Linked DNA regions of Macaca mulatta. Each later gene encodes a partner of the first gene's protein in a complex. Links are inferred from orthologs where the notes say so. Each region holds a gene or a part of one and is shown on either strand. Other genes may lie near its edges.

Evidence for each region.
Region 2: NBAS (region 1) and RINT1 share a complex: the UniProt entries of both Homo sapiens proteins name them as parts of the NRZ complex. The link is inferred for Macaca mulatta from reciprocal best matches to the Homo sapiens genes NBAS and RINT1.

What each region holds. Positions count from the first base shown.
Region 1 is NC_133418.1:109,477,472-109,487,939, reverse strand, and holds part of NBAS (NBAS subunit of NRZ tethering complex), read right to left. Parts: intron 9,765-10,468; coding exon 9,701-9,764; intron 7,284-9,700; coding exon 7,090-7,283; intron 5,731-7,089; coding exon 5,473-5,730; intron 4,767-5,472; coding exon 4,641-4,766; intron 886-4,640; coding exon 734-885; intron 160-733; coding exon 19-159; intron 1-18. UniProt on the Homo sapiens protein: Involved in Golgi-to-endoplasmic reticulum (ER) retrograde transport; the function is proposed to depend on its association in the NRZ complex which is believed to play a role in SNARE assembly at the ER. Required for normal embryonic development.
Region 2 is NC_133408.1:145,130,330-145,140,797, forward strand, and holds the start of RINT1 (RAD50-interacting protein 1), read left to right. Parts: upstream 1-290; 5' UTR 291-423; coding exon 424-465; intron 466-956; coding exon 957-1,002; intron 1,003-5,389; coding exon 5,390-5,574; intron 5,575-10,468. UniProt on the Homo sapiens protein: Involved in regulation of membrane traffic between the Golgi and the endoplasmic reticulum (ER); the function is proposed to depend on its association in the NRZ complex which is believed to play a role in SNARE assembly at the ER.

The DNA.
Region 1 (10,468 bases):
CAGTAACAAATCATTTACTTGGAAAATTTCACTAATTTCAGTAGTTCCTGTCTCTTCTTGAGCTCCTTCTCCTTTTTATTCTTGGCAGGCTCTTCATCAGGTGGTGAAAGTTCTTCATAGGAGATATTGTCAATGTCTACTTCACCAGGTAATGTAAATCTGCAAGTATAAAAGAACAAATATATTTTCATCATTTTTAAAAACTTCATGCTGTGAAAAGCTTTCTCCTATTTTGACTGATTTAATTATTGATTTGCACAAAAACAGAAGGAAGTATTTGAAAAAAACTTTTGCCATTGTAAACAAAGTGATCATTCATTATATCCATAGATGGGCAAAAAGTCATCAGTAATTATCACAAATAGAAATCTAAAAATCAAGAAAATGAAAACTATTTAGGAAGAGATGTGGGGTTACATTCATTCAATGTAAAGCAGCCTATGCAGAAAATGTCCAGAGTTTGCTATGTGAATCACTTCTTCTTAAGGTCTTCAAATGGTAATCATGTCAGTCTCATTTTAATTATTTACTTCTCAGATATATTCTCATATTTATATTTTTTAAAAAGTTCCAAATGCCTGATGAGCAATGACTTCAGATAAGAAAGTATTGATCAAAAGCAACTGCTTCAGTAGAGAATAACTTAAAGAAAAGTTTACCCAGTCCAATGTCTCAGTACAAAAGTTCTCACAAAGTCACTTTTACTTTGAATCCAATTCCTTCTATAACCAACCTGCCTTCATCTGCTCCTTTCCCTATTGCTAAAAGAGCCTCCAGGTCTGTGCCTTTTAATCCATACTGAAGCAGTTCTTTGGCAGCATCCACATTTTCAGGAACTCTTTCCAAACACTCATGGAGAACCCAGGATCGCTTCTTTATTTTACTCTGGATATAGAAGAAGAAACAGAGGAATTAAAGAATCCATGACATCTCACAACACATTACAACTGCCTTCAGAATTGTAAAGCTATATCTAATTACAGCTATTTAGGACCTTGGCCACAGGGAGCTGCTAGAGGAACTCAAAAGAAAAGCAGCCAATTCCCTAATGGTGATTACAACTGGATGCAGGGAGTGTGAGTTTACCTGCTTGCTTTCTTCCTCTAATGAGCTACACAGAGACAGAAAGCTCAGGACTCATTTTTGGTAATATAAGACATTTTCTCCTAACTTGTATAATCGCCTTTGGCTTGCACTGTGGCTGTATAATAGAGCAGACAATAAGGCAGAAAGAGAAGATATATTCTGCCATAATTAATAAGCATGTTTAACTTTTAACAAATGAGCCCATCAAAGTTCTGTATTTATTTGACCATGAGATATATCCCAGGGTGTAAATAACTTAATCATAAAAAGTCATGATATGCTGTTTTTTGGAAAGATCAAGGTCCTATTCCTCCCTCCCAACTGCTTTCTCCAACTCCATTCAAAATCCCTGACTTGCCCTCCTCCTACAAAGAGCTATTATGGTAACAAATTTCAATTAATATTTGACTCATTCCCTAGGATCCTTTATATATTGCCTCACATCAGTTCTTTCTTCAAATGTCTCTTATTAATTCACTTTCCCTTTTCCACAGCTGCAGCCTCCATACCAGTCTAAATCATCAACACAAAATATCCAGGACACTGCAGGAGTCCCCTGCTCTGAGCAAGCTTTCCTACCTTCCTTCCACTCCAATCCTCTCTACACCATCTTCCTCTGTGCTTCCACAGTCAGAAATCCACAACAGTAGATAAATGCCTAAGTCATCACAACCTTTCCACATCCTCCTGAACCCAAATCAATATATCTTTTTAATCATATTTCCCAATGTTCACTATTGTCAAATATCAGTGCCAGCAAACTGGTTGATGTACAGAGCTCATCTATCCACAAAATGTTTACTGGGCACCTACTGCATACCAGGCATTGAAGTAGACATGGAAAGACAGCAGTGAATAAAACAGATTTAGTCATGGGCCTCATAAATCATGCTCAACGTCTTTTCATTCGTTCATACCATCTGTCCTGTTAAGAATGTCTTCCTTCCTTCTCACTCAAGAAGGTCTACTTTAAATCCTTCCAAATCCCTGCTCCAAACATCTTCACTATATAAAGCCTTCCATCACTACCAGATCTATAATAATAATCACTACCTTCACTGGGTTTCTAGAGTTTTATCTGAAATCTGTTTATATGGTCAGTTACATTCAATATGGTGAACCCCTATCTCTACTAAAAATACAAAAATTAGCCAGGTGTGGTGTCATGTGCCTGTAGTCCCAAGCTACTCGGGAGGCTGAAGCAGGAGAATCACTTGAACCAGGGAGGCAGAAGTTGCAGTGAGCCGAGATAGCACCATTGCACTCCAGCCTGGGCAAAAAGAGTGAAACTCCATCTCAAAAAAAAAAAAAAAAAAAAAAAAAATCATAAGCTCCCAATGAGTAAAAGTCACATTTATGCCTGTCCTGTACCCCTTTGCAGTCCCCAGCATAGTGCTCTTGCTCTTAACTGGCTATTTATTTAACTAAACAAAATATTCCCCTCCCCAGAAAAGTACTTGTTTTGTCTCTCCTAACATCCCTCAACTCCTTCAGAGATAAAAACTGTCCTTTACTGTATCCCAGAAAAAGATATACATGAACTCATGAGCTCATTGTCTTAGATTACAAAACAACAAAGAAAAATAATACAGAATTAGTGTTTTGATTTTCTAAAGAAAATACAAGTAACTTTGTCTTCTTCCGTTTCATTACCTCTCATGCTCTTTCACCTCTGATATCTTGCTTGTATTAATGTTAAGTTTATCATCCTGTTTGGCTGATGCATCATCTTCTTCCATACAACTTTTTCATGTTATATTTTTACTTTTAATTACTAATGTACAAAACTTTTAGGGAAGTAATCATCATGAAATTTTCCCAGTGTTTCCCACAATCTTCCACAGTGCAAAGGTATTTTCCTTTCTACATGTTAAGATCAGAAGTCCCAACCTTTTTTAAAGTATGTCATGAGTCTAACTATAAGTCTTTCTTACAAAGATGCCAAAGGTTAAAACATACAGGCTTGCTATGAAATCAATGTGTCCCCCAAAATTCACATGTTGAAAAACTAATTCCCAGAGTGATGATGTTTGGAAATGAGACCTTCAGAAAGCAATCAGGTCATGAGAGTGGAGGCCCCATGACAGGATTGGCGTCCTCACAAGAGGAGGCAGGAGACAGCTTGCTGCCTCTCTCTCTGCTCTCTGCCATATAAGGACACAGCAAGAAAGAAATCCATCTGCAACCCAGGAGAGTGCTCTCACCAGGAATGAAATTGGTCAACACCTTGATTTTGCAATTCCCAGCCTCTAGAACTGTGAGAAATAAATTTCTGCTGTTGAAACCACATAGTCTGATATTTTTGTTGCAGCGGCTAAAACTAATTGAGACAAGACTGTATATTAATCTTAACTATGGGAGGCAGGTAACAGGAAGTATCCAATTTTGAGACTTAAGTTTTAAACAGGCGTATTTGGCAGTTTTCATATATGTTACCTATTTATTGCCTCTCAGCTCCAAATTTCCCCTCAAAGCCAGCTCTGTGATAGCGTATGTCATTTGCAGTTGACACAATATTAAGCTCTGGGTGCTGGAGGGCCACTGCAAAAGAAGAGGCTCTGCTTTCTAGTCGTGATGTGCTTTGGTTCTTTTCTTCTTGCTCCTATGGCTTGGCCACCAACAAGGCATGTGTGGGACATCAAGTGGCACTTACTTCCCCACTTCCTCCCTCTGTTGACACCCTCCCACTGAGTTTCACTGGCACTCTCGTGGGCAGACTGTTTTCTAGTGAATCTCCCACGCACCAAAGAGAGAAGCTTCCCAGACTGGAAGCTACAAAAAGGCCGCCTATAGGAGTAGACAGTTTTTTCTTGCCAGTCTTGGCCATGATTCCTTAATTATCTACCAGCCTTGAGCCACATGCATGCTGGTAGGGGTTTCCTGCTGGATAGTCCCTGGGGTCTTCTGGCCCCCATCCTCAGCTCACTGGCCCCCAGAAGCAGGCGTCCAGCTTTCCTATCCATCCCATATCTCCCCGACTGCCAACCTTGGCAACTGTGGACCAGCCCTGGCTCAAGGCAACCCAGAGAACTTCTCTTCCATCCTACATGCTGCAACCACTCCTGGTCCAACGGGTCTGAATCCCAGCCTAGGGGAAGGGCCTCCCTTCCAAGTTCATTCCCTCCATGGATACGTCCCTTCAGCCCTAGGGTATTCCTTAGCGTTCTCTATCGTTCATTTCTGGTTACTAGAAAATAATTCTCCACATTGTAAATTTCCCGGTTTAAATTACTGTGTGGTTTCTGGCACCTGACTAGCTCTTGACTAATGCAGGTAAAGTGAAGTGATTGTGGTACAGGAAAGAAAACATTAGGCCGAAACCAAGTAGTCAGCTGGTTTATCAGTGAATATTTGTTCACATGTATTCAGCATCAAAGTCCAGTTGCAGGGGCAATAAAATCTAACAAAAAGACCATTTTTCCAGATGAGAAAACTGTACTTCATTGACTGTATTATAGAAAAGTCAGCAATGTAAAGTTCTCTAAAATGAAGCCCTATAAACAAAAGACACTATATGAATATACATTTTACATTACCAAAATATTTACACATACCAAATAATTCTGAATTGAAGCAACATTGACCACTGACTTCCTCCACTGCCTCTGATATACGAGGTCAGTATCCAGGCCATAGGTATGAGCCAAGGACAAGGCTTCCTCATACTCTTCACTTTCAATCTTCAGATAAAAACACAAAGACAGGAATGTTACATGACTGAATTATCTACAGGGTCCTGATGATGATACAATGAATGATGATAATCCCTTGGACCTATCCAGCATGTCATTAATTCCTGTGCACTGTGGCACCAGAAGCTCACAGACATATTGAGGAGCAGAAGGATCTCGTGTTTCTTTCAGGACTTTAACAGAAAGATGAAAGATAAAAGGTGCAAAACTCTCATTTTAGAGTAAAACAATGGCAAAACCAAGACAACCATGGAACAACCCAACTTCTAGTCCAGAGCTCCTACCATGACATTGCAAGAACAGCACAAATCATGTAAACACACAGTGCTGGTCACCTTGGCTTCCCAAGCAAGTCCTGGACTAGCATTTCTTCCTTCACCCTCTGTAGATAGCTGATTTAAACACAGATAAAGGGAGAGCTGAAGGCCACATGAAGGGTAGCAAAGAAATGAGTTAAGCCACCAAGTGGATAATCAGTCTAAGTGAATTCAACTTTATCCATGGTTTTGATTTTGATTATTTAGGTACAAAGATTAGCATTATTTTAAAAAGCTTTAGAGAACTGCTATTTTTAACATGTCAATGATCCAACATCCCTCTTGAAATTTTCTCCTTTATTAAAAAATTAACTTTTTCCCAATAAAAGAAAAGCTTGATGACTTCAAACTTGGGTAGTAGTACGCTACTGTCTCACCTTCCTCTGATAAAGTTCCTCCGGTGTTGTGGAGCGCAAACTCACAAGGCGGTAGTTTTTAGTAATGGTTCGTGGGCGTTTCCGTGCTGGTGCAAATCGCTCCATTTCAGTCACCAAGTAAAGGCCCTGTTTTATATAACCAAAGTAGCGAGCCTTGGCAGATATTTCATGATCAGAATCAGAATCCTCTTCTCCTTCATCTTCTTCTCCAGCCCTAGTCTCCAAACGAGATCGTTTGGAGGCAAGTTTAATCTCACACTAAATTGAAAAAGGAGATTTGAAATTAATAGTTAGGAACTAAGAATAACTTTTTAGAATTAATGAAAAAAAAATTTCTAAATCTAATCTGGTTTGATTCATTAAATCAGTTATGTGATCAAGATTAACAATGGAACTCAAAGGAACTTTACAGCAAGCATTATATACATCAGCTCCAGAAATATGCACATACATGATCAGCTCCAAATCTTCTAAACTAAAGCCTGTTTTTTTGTTTTGTTTTGTTTTGTTTGAGATGGAGCCTTGTTTTGTCACCCAGGCTGGAATGCAGTGGCGCGATCTCAGCCAACCGCAACCTCCACCTCCTAGGTTCAAACGATTCTCCTGCCTCAGCCTCCTGAGTAGCTGGGACTACAGACACCCACCACCACGCCCAGCCAATTTTTGTATATTTACTAGAGATGGGGTTTCACCATGTTGGCCAGGCTGGTCACGAATTCCTGACCTTAAGTGATCCACCCGCCTTGGCCTCCCAAAGTGGTAGGATTAGAGGTGTGAGCCACTGTGCCCAGTCTAAAGCCTGTTTTAATAACAGGTCATTAATATGCTCTTGTACTTATAATTATCAGGTCTTGTACCTGATAATTTGATGATCTGTTTTCATCTCTTCAGAGAATGAACATAAAGGTACTTAAATTTGCTTTACCAAGAACAGCTCTCCCTCACCCCTTTATAAAAATGTCTAACAGCTTCGCTAAGTTCTGAGTCTGAAAGCCTGGCTGTTCAAGATAACTTTCATTCAGACTTAACAGAGCTGGCTTAGATTTTAAGTCATAGTTTTCTTTAAGGAACATCTTTAGACTCCATAACAAACTTCAGAGTAAAAAACATGTCAATCTGCATTGCTGAAGTGAAAGCTATGAAAGGTTGTTACCCTTGAAAGACTTAAAATACAATTTTTAAATGACCAAAAGATAACTTTAAAGAACTAGCCTCTATTTTCAAGTCTTTTGTCATGATAAACAAGTTTCCTTACTAAAAGAATCAAAAACTTTAGTTGCCATGCTTTTTAGAAATAGGTTAAAGAGTATTTTTCTTAGGTAGTGATACCATTCTACATTTTAAAATGACTAATCCAGGGGAGAAAAAAATCTACCATTTCAGTGAAAAAGAAATACTTTATACAAAGCAAAATGACAACAAATTTTCTTCATTATCTTAAATTACAATTTTTTATTCACTAAAAAACGAATTTTTTATACTGCAACCATTACCTGATTCCAGTCACAGATTTTTGTTTTTAAAGACAAGATAATAAGACAACTCAAATAAAAACCAGATATTTAAATTTTTGGTTAAATATATAACTATTCTCAAACAAAGGGGAAAAAGCCTTACCTCCAAACTTAAAAATCCCCCATCATGGGTAGCAGTGACTTGAGGTGATGGTTCAAACCACTCACAGGATTTTCCCAGTAAATTCTTCAAAGTTTTCACCGACGAAACAGTTAAGGCACCGGAGCATCGAGCTAAAGTCACTGCACTGTCTGCCCACCAATTGACATCTATCAGTGGGTAAAAGGACTCTTTATCTAAGAAGGGAAAAACAAATCAATACAAATGCATCTGCTAATGTGGTTTAAATTCAAAATATTTAGTATAAGAATCAATTTTAAAACCAAATTTACCTATGTTATTTGGCCCCTTAATGGTATATTAAATAATGAGAAAAAAATAAGAAAAATTAAAATGTAAGTCATCCTCAAAAGTTTATGAGGTATAAAATGGTAATTCACTTGACAAATTGGGTGCCAACAATGTCAGTCTAGGTCTAAAGCTCTAAGGATACAAAGGCAGTCTAAAGCTCTAAGGATACAAAGGCAAATAAACTAGGGTCTTTCATCTCAAGAATATACTCAGGAGAGAGATGTGTCACCACTTTCAACCTAAGTTGAAAGGCAGGTGTGTACCAGGTATGCATACATGAAGGTAATATAATGTTTTGAAAAATGTACATATACCACTTTCAGACAAACACTGAGAGAAATATACCCTTTAGAAAAATATAAGACAGATATGTAATAGTTTCCAGTGCTGATTTCCTCTTAAACTTATAACTAATCAGAGAGGGAAAAAAAAATCTATGGCTAGCAAAGAATCTTTAGAAATGAAAATGAATTATGGGCTGGACGCAGTGGTTCATGCCTGTAATTCCAGCACTTTGGGAGGCTGAGGTGGGCAGATCACAAGGTCAGGAGTTTAAGACAAGCCTGGCCAATACGGTGAAACCCCATCTGTATTAAAAATACAAAAATTAGCCAGGAATGGTGGCGCATGCTTGTAGTTCCAACTACTGGGGAGGCTGAGACGGGAGAATCACTTGAACCCAGGAGGTGGAGGTTGCAGTGAGCCGAGATGGTGCCACTGCACTCCAGCCTGGGTGACAGAGCGAGACTCTGTCAAAAAAAAAAGAAAAAGAAAAAGAAAAAGAAAAGGAATTATTGTTCACCAAACTAAGGCATTCAAAAGGCAATGCCATATTTATTATAATTTTATTGTACATTTTTGAACATCATCTGTTATACAAAACATATGATATGGTTTAAAGGTAAAAGTAAACCATAAATTTAACAACATATTTAAACATTACACTAGAAGAGATTTTAAATATGGAATTCAGAACCATGAGACTCACTATTTTAAGGAAAATAAAGAGCTCTAACAACACTTTTTTCCCAAGTAAGCCTAAGGCAATCCATGTAAATAAGGAGTTTCAAGAAAATGTGAAAGGCAGAGTTCCTGGGGCTTATCACTAAGTGTGAAGTAGAAAGAAAGAGGAGCAAATCACTAAAATAAAATTCTAATTTCTGCTTTGACAAAGTATTACTTTTCCTCAAAAATATGTCTGGATGAATATTTTGGATGATTATTTAACTAAAGCAGATAATTCAAAGCATGGAACCTGATGCATAATATTAATCAATATTTTTAATCTTCTTTAAATGTGAACTAAAAGCATTTTTTTTTTTTTTTGAGATGAACTTTTGCTCTGTCACCCAGGCTGGAGTGCAGTGGCGTGATCTCAGCTCACTGCAACCTCCGCTTCCCAGGTTAAAGCGATTATCCTGCCTCAGCCTCCCGAGTATCTGATTACAGGTGTGCACCACCATGCCTGGCTAATTTTTGTATTTCCAGTAGAGACAGGGTTTCACCATGTTGGCCCGACTGGTCTTGAACTCTTGAACTTGGGTGATCCACCTGCTTTGGCCTCCCAAAATGCAGGCATGAGCCACCGTGCCAGCCTAAAAATATATCGTAATACAGACCTTGAACCTTGTAACTATCACTGATTTTACAGAAGACACTTAAAAATTCATCACGGATTTAACTTAGAAAGTTTCACCTAAAGAGAAATAACACATAGTCAAGAACTAAAAGTAAAAAAAAAACTCAAAAGTAACCCCTACAGGATTTTAAAATATCTCTGCTTTAATCTAGCAATTAAATGACAATTATTACTCTTATTTAAATGTAAATCTTGATTTTTATTTATAAAAACAATATATGCTCACTGTAAAAATGAAATTTTTTCTTTAAAACATGGAAATGTATGCAAAGACAAAGAAAGCCTCACCAACCTAACCCTAATTACCCCCAACCGGCAGAGGTAAGTTTACTCAGTGTTTCTTCTTTGATGAATCTTGCTCTGTGATCTCACCCAGGAGCATCTGAAAAGGAGCAGGCTTCTAAGCGTTGAACTCAGTGTACCATCTCAATGCTGGCTCCTGGCAGGAGAGCCATGCTGCATACCCTGGGCTCTGACCTCGCTTTTGGGAAAGCCTGACCATCAGAAAACTGGATCTGTTGCCTTGACCAAATCTATGAAATCTTGATGTTTCTTCCAAAGTGTAGCAAAAGTATCTGGAGATTTTTTATATCATCCAAAGAGCATCTTGTATAATAATAGAAGTCTCTTAAGGTTTCAATTATCATATTTCATACAACTCACCTTTGACTTTTTTTCTCTTCTCAGTAGAGAGCCTCCAATCAGGATTAAGGTCATCATAGCCTGGCTAAATATGAAAATAATGACTTCCTGAGTCAACTATGTAAGAAAATTATATGAAAATCATCAAGAACTGTGGACTTTTTCAAATAAAGAGATGATGCTTTCCCTTGATCTCTCAATTACAACTAGCTGAAATCTATTTCTTGCCATGATAGTCTGGAAAAGCGATTGTTCTTACACTTAAAATGTGCACATGTACATATTATGACTCAATTTATGAAGAATATAGCATACGCATATGAACAATAGGATACCAAGTATACCACCAATACATATGAAAGCAAAATACACTAAGAATTCGTTCTATACACATACACACACGTGATGAATAAACACTGGCCTGGATACAGGTCTTATCCGAGCCACTTATAAACTGAGCAACCTCTCCAGGCTGTGATTTTCAAAGCTTTGAGACTTGACTAGGAAACCTTCATGTTACGTCCTAGTCCTTTTTATGACTAAGAATTTACCAGGTTAAAAAAATATAACCATGCATGCATTCATACTGTAATCTTAGGGCAATATGGTGTCATGCTCATCTTTGAGAATATAACAGCACATCAATATCTCTCAAATATCAATTTGAGAATAAGCCATTACCTGACACCCTCTTGGCTTAGTGTTCCCTTTTTAGTCTCCGGAATTATAATAGTATGGGCAAAGAGTAAAAAAAATAGTTGGGGTACTTATTTGAAATCTGAAATCTAA
Region 2 (10,468 bases), on another chromosome or scaffold:
CAACTAAATATTCGAACCAAATAACCCTGCACCAAAGCTCCTAGTCAACAAGCCCCCACACTCTCAGAACATCTGGATATTGTCTAAAATAGAAATTTAAATGATTCATAATGAATTTAAGGCGTTGGGAGAGGGATATCTTAAAGTTCCATCTCTGGAGCGCCTTGGGGGCGGGTGCCCGCTTCCTGAGCGGCCGTTCCGACCTCCGGCCAGGAGGCGGAGGAAAAGAGCAGGGCAGGCGGCTGCGCGGGCAGAGCCTCTCTGGGCTGAGAGGAAGAAACCAGCGAGACATCGAGAGGAAGTCGCGGTGGCGCTGAATCCTACGGCCTCCGAGACTGAGGAGGTCAGTGTGTCGCTGGCCTTAGGCAGGCTCCACAGGCCACGCTGGCTGCGAATGGAGCCCAGGACTCGCGTGGAGGCGAGATGCTGCCAGCTGGCGAGATCGGCGCCTCTCCTGCAGCCCCGGTGAGACGGCCCTGGCGTCCCTGGGAGGGGACATTGGTGGCCTACTGAGGTGGCACAGACCTCCCGGGGAAGATAGTCCCGGTGAGGTGACCCTGTAATCTTGTGAAGGTGCTTCCCGCAGCTTAGATTAGAGGCCCTTGCAAGACCTCCTAGAGGAGGCGGTAGTCCCAGTGAGGTGGCTTTGGCGGTCCTGGTGAGATGACAGATTTCTCTAGGGAGGTGGCCCTAGTGGGCAGGCAGGGTAACTCCAGGTCCTGCGGAGGTGACACAGACCTCCTGGGAAGGTGGCACAGACCTCCTGGGAAGGTGGCAGTGGTGGCACCAGGGAAGTGGCACTTTGGGGTACCTGATTGAGACGGCCCTGGCCACTCAGAAGGGGGGAGAGCGTCTGGAACCTCTCTGGCCTCCAGTTGGTGCCCACTGGGAGCCCCGTATGCTTTCCATCCACGACTTTAATCTTAATGTGCTTGTCACACCTGTTCTCCTTTTAGTGCTGCTCTGAAAGTGGTGACGAAAGGAAGAACCTCGAGGAGAAAAGTAAGCCAGCTGCAAACACCTAAGCTCTTTCTTCCCAGCTATCCCTCCCAAACCCAGCCTTCTAGGGTCTGCAACAGAGAAAGGTTCTTTGCCTATCTTTTAGATGCAGTATCGTTTTGTGCGCAATATGCTTATATGGTAATACTGATGACCATGATACACATATTTTTGTCTTTCTAAAATTGTAAAATACGGGATGCTCGGGAGAAGAGCACTTCCCGATCCATACCTAGTACAGGGACTGGAGTTTTCGCTGGAAGTCTGCCTATTATACGGGACTCAGAATAATTGGGGCCTGCCTGTCATTTTAATGAAACATCAACTTATTAAGCATCAGGAATTTGGAGGGGCCCATGATCTAGGACAGATGACCACCACCTTAATTGGGTTCAAAGGAGGCAAATGATAATTGTTTAGTTCACCTTCAGTAAATTTCACCTTCAGTAAATTGGCAGTTTAAAATTGCTCCGGGAAGAGCACAACGGATAACTTGGGTTCTGGATCTTGGACTGGACAGGAAAGGGGGAAAAGGTCAGTACCACCATTTCCTCCCTAGTACAGGAGTATATGTCAGGGATGTGGACTTTTGCCATTTTACTTTAATGGCAGGTTATTGCCAATCAAGGCCTCTTTAGGTACCTTTGAAGTAACATTTTTTGGGAGAGGAAGGGGAAAAGCATGTGATAGCTCTGCTATTGGAATGTTTGGTTCTTTTGACTGTGGCAAATAGTTGGGAATGAGTATTAGTAAGAAAAATGGTGCCCACCTTACCACATGGCCCTTAGGAGTAAGATTTGCCCTTAACATTGGCGGCTAGTAGAGTCTGCCTCAGAAAGAAGACTCTAAGCGGTCCATAGCACATGACTGTCGTAACTGCCACATCTCAGCTCCTTTTTCTTGAAGGATTTGAGAGTGCCTTGTATCTCTCAGTTAAACCCTTCCCTTTCCACTTTCGCTTCATTCAGATGCCTGGAAAGTAGTCGGATGCCTACTGAGCTGTCATTTTAATAAAATAATAGATGTAGACTATCATATCAAGGACTTTGTCCTTGTTCCTCTTTCCACGGCTCAGTCAAACTGCTTTGCGATTAGGAGTGCTCTTTACAAAAAATAGAAAAAGAGACACATAAAAACCTCCCAAACCACTGGTGTGTCATTTTGAAGAATGTCATTTTGCTAAGAATGTACTGTGCCACATTTGAATGGTTACACATCAAGGGTGTAATTTTTTTTTTTTTTTTTGAGACCTAGTCTCACTCTGTCTCCCAGGCTGGAGTGCAGCGGCACGATCTTGGCTCGCTGCAAGCTCCACCTCTGGGTTCCAGTAATTCCCCTGCCTCAGCCTCCTTAGTAGCTGGGATTACAGGTGCCTGCCTCCACACTGGCTAATTTTTGTATTTTTAGTAGAGGCAGGGTTTCACCACGTTGGTTAGGCTGGTCTCCAACTCCTGACCTCAGGTAATCCACCCTCCTCGGCCTTCCAAAGTTCTGGGATTATGGGCATGAGCCACTGCGCCCGGCGGGTGTAATTTTTTTAAAAAGTGAAGGTAGAGTTTCCTCCCTAAGGTACAGCAACTGTAGCATTCACAAATATTTCCTGCCTCCATTTGTCTGCAGATAACCACATAACTCACTTGTTTTATTTAAGATTAAAAAAAGGCATTGTGAGTTCTGTACATAATAGTAGATTATTATACATTACCATTATATATCAATGTATGATATAATTAATAGATAATAATATTTATATTAATATAATTAATACAAACTATATAATTTGTATTATGTAGTCCCATTTATAACCTTGAGATGTAGGCTGGGGCAAATGTTACCATTTGTTTTCTAGTTGGAAAATTGAGGCATAGTGTTATGTTAATATTGCCTCTCCTACCCAATTTAGAATTGACAATTTAAAATTGCTCTGGGAAGAGCACAACAGATAGCTTGGGTTCTGGATCTTGGACTGGACAGGAAAGGGGGAAAAGGTCAGTACCACCTCCTGATTCTCACAGCATGTGAAAAATCTTTTAATTCAATTCATATAAGTTAAACAAAGGAAATTTTGTTTGTTAGGGTGTAGGGGTGGAGAGAGGAACATACTCTGTATAGAACACATTGGTATATGTCAGGCCTCTGAGCCCACGCTAAGCCATCATATCCCTTATGACCAGATGGCCTGAAGCAACTGAAGATCCACAGAAGTGAAAATAGCTTAACTGATGACATTCCACCATTGTGATTTGTTTCTGCCCCACCCTAACTGATCAGTGTTCTTTATAATGTCCCCCACCCTTAAGAGTTTCTTTGTAATTCTCCTCACCTTTGAGAATGACTTTGTGAGATCCACCCCCTGCCCCCAAAACATTGCTCTTAACTCCACCACCTATCCCAAAACCTATAAGAACCAATGATAATCCCACCACCCTTTTCTGACTCTCTTTTCGGACTCAGCCCGCCTGCACGCAGGTGAAATAAACAGCCATGTTGCTCGCACAAAGCCTGTTTGGTGGTCTCTTCACATGGACACGTGAAACAGTATACTGTTAATCTTTACATAAATAGTTGAACAATATCTTACATTTACATTTTGCACTTAGGCATATCATTATTTAGATATTAATATTAGTAAGTCCAATATGTACTGGACTTATTAAATGTCACAAAACAGGTAGTTTATTTGCCATGGAAAGAATCTCACTTCATACTATTTAGTGGTTGCATTAGTCATTCATTTTGATTTTTTCCTAGTAATTTGTTCTGTCATATTTTCTTTTTTCTGTTTCTGACAAAGATATCTTCGTACAATGACCTTTGAAGCTTAAAAACAATTTTTTTTTTTTTTTTTTGAGGCAGAGCCTCACTTTGTCGCCCAGGCGTGATCTCGGCTCATTGCAACCTCCGCCTCCCGTGTTCAAGCGATTCTTCTGCCCCAGCCTCCCGAGTAGCTGGGACTACAGGTGTGCACCACCATGCCCAGCTAATTTTGTATTTTTAGTAGAGACGGGTTTTCACCATATTGGCCAGGCTGGTCTTGAACTTCTGACTTCGTGATCTGCCTGCCTCAACCTCCCAAAGTGCTGGGATTACAGGCATGAGCCACCGTGCCCAGCTAAAACCTTTTTACTTTTTTTTTTTTTTTTTTTTTTTTTTTTTTGAGACGGAGTCTCGCTGTGTCTCCCAGGCTGGAGTGCAGTGGCGTGATCTCGGCTCACTGCAAGCTCCGCCTCCCGGGTTCACGCCATTCTCCCGCCTCAGCCTCCCAAGTAGCTGAGACTACAGGCGCCCGCCACCACGCCCGGCTAGTTTTTTGTATTTTTAGTAGAGACGGGGTTTCACCATGTTAGCCAGGATAGTCTCGATCTCCTGACCTCGTAATCCACCCGCCTCGGCCTCCCAAAGTGCTGGGATTACAGGCTTGAGCCACCGCGCCCGGCCTACTTTTTTTTTTTTTTTTTAAAGAGATGAAGTCTCACTCTGCAGTCCAGGCTGGAGTGTAGTGGTGCAATCATGGCTCACTGCAGCCTCGATCTCCCTGGCTGCTCAAGCAATCCTCCCACCTCAGCCCACCTGAGACTACAGGTGCGTGCCACCATGCCTGGCTAATTTTGTTAGATAAAGTCTTGCTTTGTTGCCCAGGCTGGTCTAGAACTCCTGGGCTCAAGTGATCCTCCTGCCTTGGCTTCCCACAGTGCTGGGATTACAGGTGTGAGCCACTGCGCCTGGCCTTTTAAAAAACATTTTAAAACAAGAGTCTTCCTTTTGATGTTGCTCTAGACCATACTACTGGTTCCTTACACATTTCAAAAAGGTATTACGCCTTGTCTATTGAAACCTGTGATTACTGGGTCGCACTTTAGGAATTTTTCCTTTAATACTTCCCTCAGCTCTTAAGCATTTTACAGTAGTTGGTTGATAGAGTGCTTTAGAGCTATTCATCTGGGCATTTGTATGTATGTGTTGTTCTTTAAATTATTAACTTTGTTTTGTTTTGGTTTTGTTTTTTGATACAGAGTCTCTGTCTCTCAGGCTGGAGTGCAGTGGCATGATCTTGGCTCACTGCAACCTCTGCCTCTTGGGTTCAAGGGATTCTCGTGCCTCAGCCTCCCGAATAGCTGGGACTACAGGCCTGTGCCCCCATGCCTGGCTAATTTTTGTATTTTTAGTAGAGACAGAGTTTTGCCACGTTTGCCAGGCTAGTCTCGAACTCCTGGCCTCAGGTGATGCACCTGCCTCAGCCTCCCAAAGTGCTGGGATCACAGGTGTGAGCCACCATGCCTGGCAAAATTATTAACTTTTGAAGGTAGATACACTGCTTTTACATGTTTTACATTTTCTTTAACTCCATAGTACATAGTGGCGTTGAGTAATTGTTATTCTTTTGTTTTAGGTGACATAAATGTTACAGTTCTTATTGGAAGTAAACAAGTCAGTGAAGGTACAGATAATGGTGATCTCCCTTCTTATGTGTCTGCATTCATAGAAAAGGAAGTTGGAAATGACCTTAAATCTTTAAAGAAACTTGATAAACTCATAGAACAGAGGACAGTAAGTAAAATGCAGTTAGAAGAACAGGTAAGTATTGAAACTCACTGACATAATTATCAATGGTATACTTTTTACAATATAATGTCTATTATATATAGAATTTTAAAGATACAGAATGTGATAAATAGTCTATTGTAAACTGTTTAAGAGGACTTAAGAACCTACAATATACTACCTATTTTACAAATTAGGTAAAAGACAAAGTTCCTACTGATATAGTTTGTCTTGAAAACATATTGAGACCTAACATTTTATATAGATTTTCACAGAGTGACTTTTTTTTCCCTTTCATTCTGTTTCTAGTGAACATACAGTGACTTTTTTTTTTGGGACAGAGTCTTGCTCTGTCGCCCAGGCTGGAGTGCAGTGGCCGGATCTCAGCTCACTGCAAGCTCCGCTTCCCGGGTTTACGCCATTCTCCTGCCTCAGCCTCTGGAGTAGCTGGGACCACAGGCGCCCGCCACCTCGCCCAGCTAGTTTTTTTGTATTTTTTAGTAGAGACGGGGTTTCACCATGTTAGCCAGGATGGTCTCGATCTCCTGACCTCGTGATCCACCCGTCTCGGCCTCCCAAAGTGCTGGGATTACAGGCTTGAGCCACCGCACCCAGCTTCATACAGTGACTTTTAAATTGCTTTTACAAGCAAATAATTTCATGGCATGTAAAAAAATATATACCATGGTGTAAACACCATCATTTCAATTTTTTTTTTTTTTGAGATGGAGTTTTGTTGCCCAGGCTGGAGTGCAATGGTGCCATCTTGGCTCACTGCAACCTCCGCCTCCTGGGTTCAAGCAGTTCTCCTGCCTTAGCTTCCCATGTGGCTGGGATTACAGGCATGTGTCACTCTGCCTGCCTAATTTTGTATTTTAGGTAGAGATGGGGTTTCAACATGTTGGCAAGGCTGGTCTTGAACTCGTGACCTCAGATGATCCACCTGCCTTGGCCTCCCTTAGTTCTGGGATTACAAATGTGAGCCACTGTACCTGACCACATTTCAAATTTTAATAAATACACACATAGGGAGAAGTATAAAGTGAAAAGAAGTATAACATAATGGTTATTTCTGGGTGGTTGGTTGACAAGTGGTGTATTTAAAAAATATTTCTAGGCCTGGCACAGTAGCTCACACCTGTAATCCCAGCACTTTGGGAGGCTGAGACGGGTGGATCACCTGAGGTCAGGAGTTTGAGACCAGCCCGACCCACATGGTGAAACCCCGTCTCTGCTGAAAGTACAACAAAAAAAATTAGCCAGGTGCGGTGGCAGGCACCTGTAATCCCAGCTACTCGGGAGGCTGAGGCAGGAGAATTGCTTGAACCCAGGAGGCGGAGGTTGCCGTGAGCTGAGATCGCGCCATCTCACTCCAGCCTAGGCAATAAAAGCGACACTGCGTCTCAAAAATATATATTTCTATGTATTTATAGGTTTTTTTTCTTTTACAATGAACATACCACTTAAAATAATTTTTTAAAACCCGGCCAACATAAAACATTTTTATTGGGCTGGACACAGTGGCTCACGCCTGTAATCCCAGCACTTTGGGAGGCCGAGACGGACGGATCACGAGGTCGAGATCGAGACCATCCTGGCTAACACGGTGAAACCCCGTCTCTACTAAAAACACAAAAAAATTAGCTGGGTGCAGTGGCGGGCCCCTGTAGTCCCAGCTACGTGGGAGGCTGAGGCAGGAGAATGGCGTGAACCCAGGAGGCGGAGGTTGCAGTGAGCTGAGATTGCGCCACTGCACTCCAGCCTGGGTGACAGAGCGAGACTCCGTCTCAAAAAAAAAAAAATTTTTATCATATAGCTACTAAATTAGGTTAAGAAAATTCTGTGTGGGTTATTTCCAGCTTTTTGATCATCTTATGTTCTCCCGTCCCTATTACCTTAGGCCTCCACAGCTTCCTGTCTTCCCACCACAACTACTGCTAGTCTTCAAGTTTAGCCTAGCTTTGTCTGCCTTTTCACTCCTGCAGGCAGGTTGTGTGGACCCAGTTGGAGGAAGTCATACAACCGAGTAGGTTGGTGCCAACCTATGTGTGTGGTCTGCCACCCTGGCTGAGTATTCAGCCCCACCAGCAATCCTTCCATGGGAAGGTCAGCTCCTCTGCTACTCCCCTCAGCTGTTCTTTCAGATTCTCTTTGAGACATCTACCCAACCTGTCCTTTTTGCCCTTTCCTTTTCCCAAGCAGAAAAAAATAGAGGCCTAGCATGAATTTAGTGGCATTGAATTCAGTCTGTTGAATAGTCTATCCCACAATCCCCAAATTTACATGTAGTCATTTTTAACCTCATTCAGCAGAGGATCATTCTAAGGCAGACCTTATACCCCAGGTTCTATCTGCCACCTCAGTGAACTTGTGTCACTCTTATAATTTTACCCTGTGTTCATCAACCAGTCCTATCCCTTCAGCGTGTGCATATGGACAGGTCTTTTCTATAAAACCTTAACAAACAAACGAAAAAACCTGTGATCTTTTAGCAGGTATTAGTTCTTTCCTTTGATTGTCAGGCTTCAGAAGGTAACCTTTGTTATCTATGTCTACTTTTTAATTTGCCATTCATATTTGACCCACTGTAGTCAGGCTTGTTTCCGTAATGACCACAGAAACTTTTACTGAAGTTCCTTATTGAACCTTAAATTCAGCATGTCCAAAACTGTACTGATCCATTTTTTAGAGACATGTCTGTCTTGGTTAGATAATGGCACACTATCTGCCTGTCACCCAGACCTGAAGCCTAGGAGTCCTAGATTCCTTCTTATCATTCTCTATCTGTCACCAAGTCATCTGAGTTCTGCCTCAACATCTCTGGTGTCCATCCCATCTTTCCCACTCTTCTTTTTTTTTTTTTTTTTTTTTTTTGAGTAGGAGTTCCTGCTGCCCAGGCTGGAGTGCAATGGCACGATCTCGGCTCACTGCAACCTCCACCTCCCGGGTTCAAGCGATTCTCCTGCTTCAGGCTCCCAAGTAACTGGGATTATAGGCATGTGCCACCACGCCTGGCTAATTTTGTATTTTTAGTAGAGGTGGGGTTTCTCTATGTTGGGAAGGCTGGTCTCGAACTCCCGACCTCAGGTGATCCGCCTGAAAGTGGATCTTGGCCTTCCAAAGTGCTGGGATTACAGGCGTGAGCCACTGCGCCCAACCCCATCTTTCCCACTCTTGCTGATACCATCTTAGTTTAGGCAGGTTGGGAGCTTTGTAGAAATGCAGAATCTCAGTCTTACTTCAGACTTACTGTGTCTGAATCTGTATTATAAGAAGATCTCTAGGTGATTAATGTGCACATTCATTAAATGTAGCCTGTCCATTTTATTGCATTAATCCCACTGTTGAAATTACTTGCTTACAACTCTCTTGTATACCAAAGGGATCTTAAGGACGGATGCTGTGTCTTGTTTGTCTGAATATTTCTAGCACAGTGCCTGGTACAGAATAAGTATCTAATCACTGTTGATTGAAATTATTCTATGATGTTCTTTGTATTTGCTGATGACTAGTATTTGTATATGTTTTCCCATATACTATAAGAAAAATTCATTTAGTAAATGCCATTTTCTGTCTTCTTTTTTTTTTTTGAGATGGAGTCTTGCTCTGTTGCCCAGGCTGGAGTGTGGTGGTGTGATCTCAGCTCACTGCAACCTCCGCCTTCTGGGTTCAAGTGATTCTTCTGCCTCAGCCTCCCAAATAGCTGGGATGACAGGCATGCGCAACCATACTCAGCTCATTTTTGTATTTGTATTTATTTTACTTTATTTTATTTTTTGAGACAGTCTCACTGTGTCACCCAGGCTGGAGTGCAGTGGCGGGATCTCAGCTCACCAACCTCCGCCTCCTGGGTTTACCAATTCTCCTGCCTTAGCCTCCTGAGTAGCTGGGATTACAGGCGTGTGCTACCACACCCGGCTAGTTTTTTTATTTTTAGTAGAGACAGGGTTTCACCATTTTAGTAAGGCTGGTCTCAAACTACTTACCTCAAGTAATCCACCAGCTTTTGCTTCCCAAAGTGCTAGGATTACAGGCATGAAACACTGTGCCTGGCCGAATTTTTGTATTTTCAGTAGAGACAGGGTTTCACCATGTTGGCCCGGCTGGTCTCGAACTTCTGACCTCCAGTGACTTGCCCGCCTCGGCCTCCCAAAGTGCTGGGATTACAGGCATGAGCCACCGCACCTGGCCAGTAAATGCCATTTCTAAAGGCATTGCCTGGATATCGTCTCATCAAGTCAGTGGTTCTTAGCCTGGCCTTAATTCAGAATCACCTGGGGGTGTTGGCAAAATATAGATGCCCAGCCTGTTAGAATGAGATCTTTGTTTCCATTTTTTTTTGAGATGGAGTCTCGCTCTGTCACTCAGGCTGGAGGGCAGTGATGCAATCTCAGCCCACTGCAACCTCTGCCTCCTGGGTTTAAGAAATTCTCTGCCTCAGCCTCCCAAATAGCTGGGATTACAGTCGTGTGCCACCATGCTCAGCTAATTTTTTTATTTTTATTTTTTAGTAGAGACAAGATTTCCCCATCTTGGCCAGGCTGGTCTTGAAATCCTGACCTTGTGATCCACCCACCTTGGCCTCCCAAAGTGCCGGGATTACAGGCGTAAGCCTCCGTGCCTGGTCTGCAGTGTTTTTGTTTTTGTTTTTTCTTTGAGGAGTCTCGCTCAGAGTGACAGACACCCAGGCTGGATGGAGTGTGGTGGTGCAGTCTCGGCTCACTGCAACCACCTCCTCCCGGTTCAAGTGATTCTCCTGCCTTAGCCTCTCTAGTAGCTGAGGTTACAGGTGTGTGTCACCACGCCTGGCTAGTTTTTGTATTTTTAGTAGAGATGGGGTTTCACCATCTTGGCCAGGCTGGTCTCAAACTCCTGACCTCAAATGATCCGCCCGTCTCGGCCTCCCAAAGTGCTGGGATTACAGGCG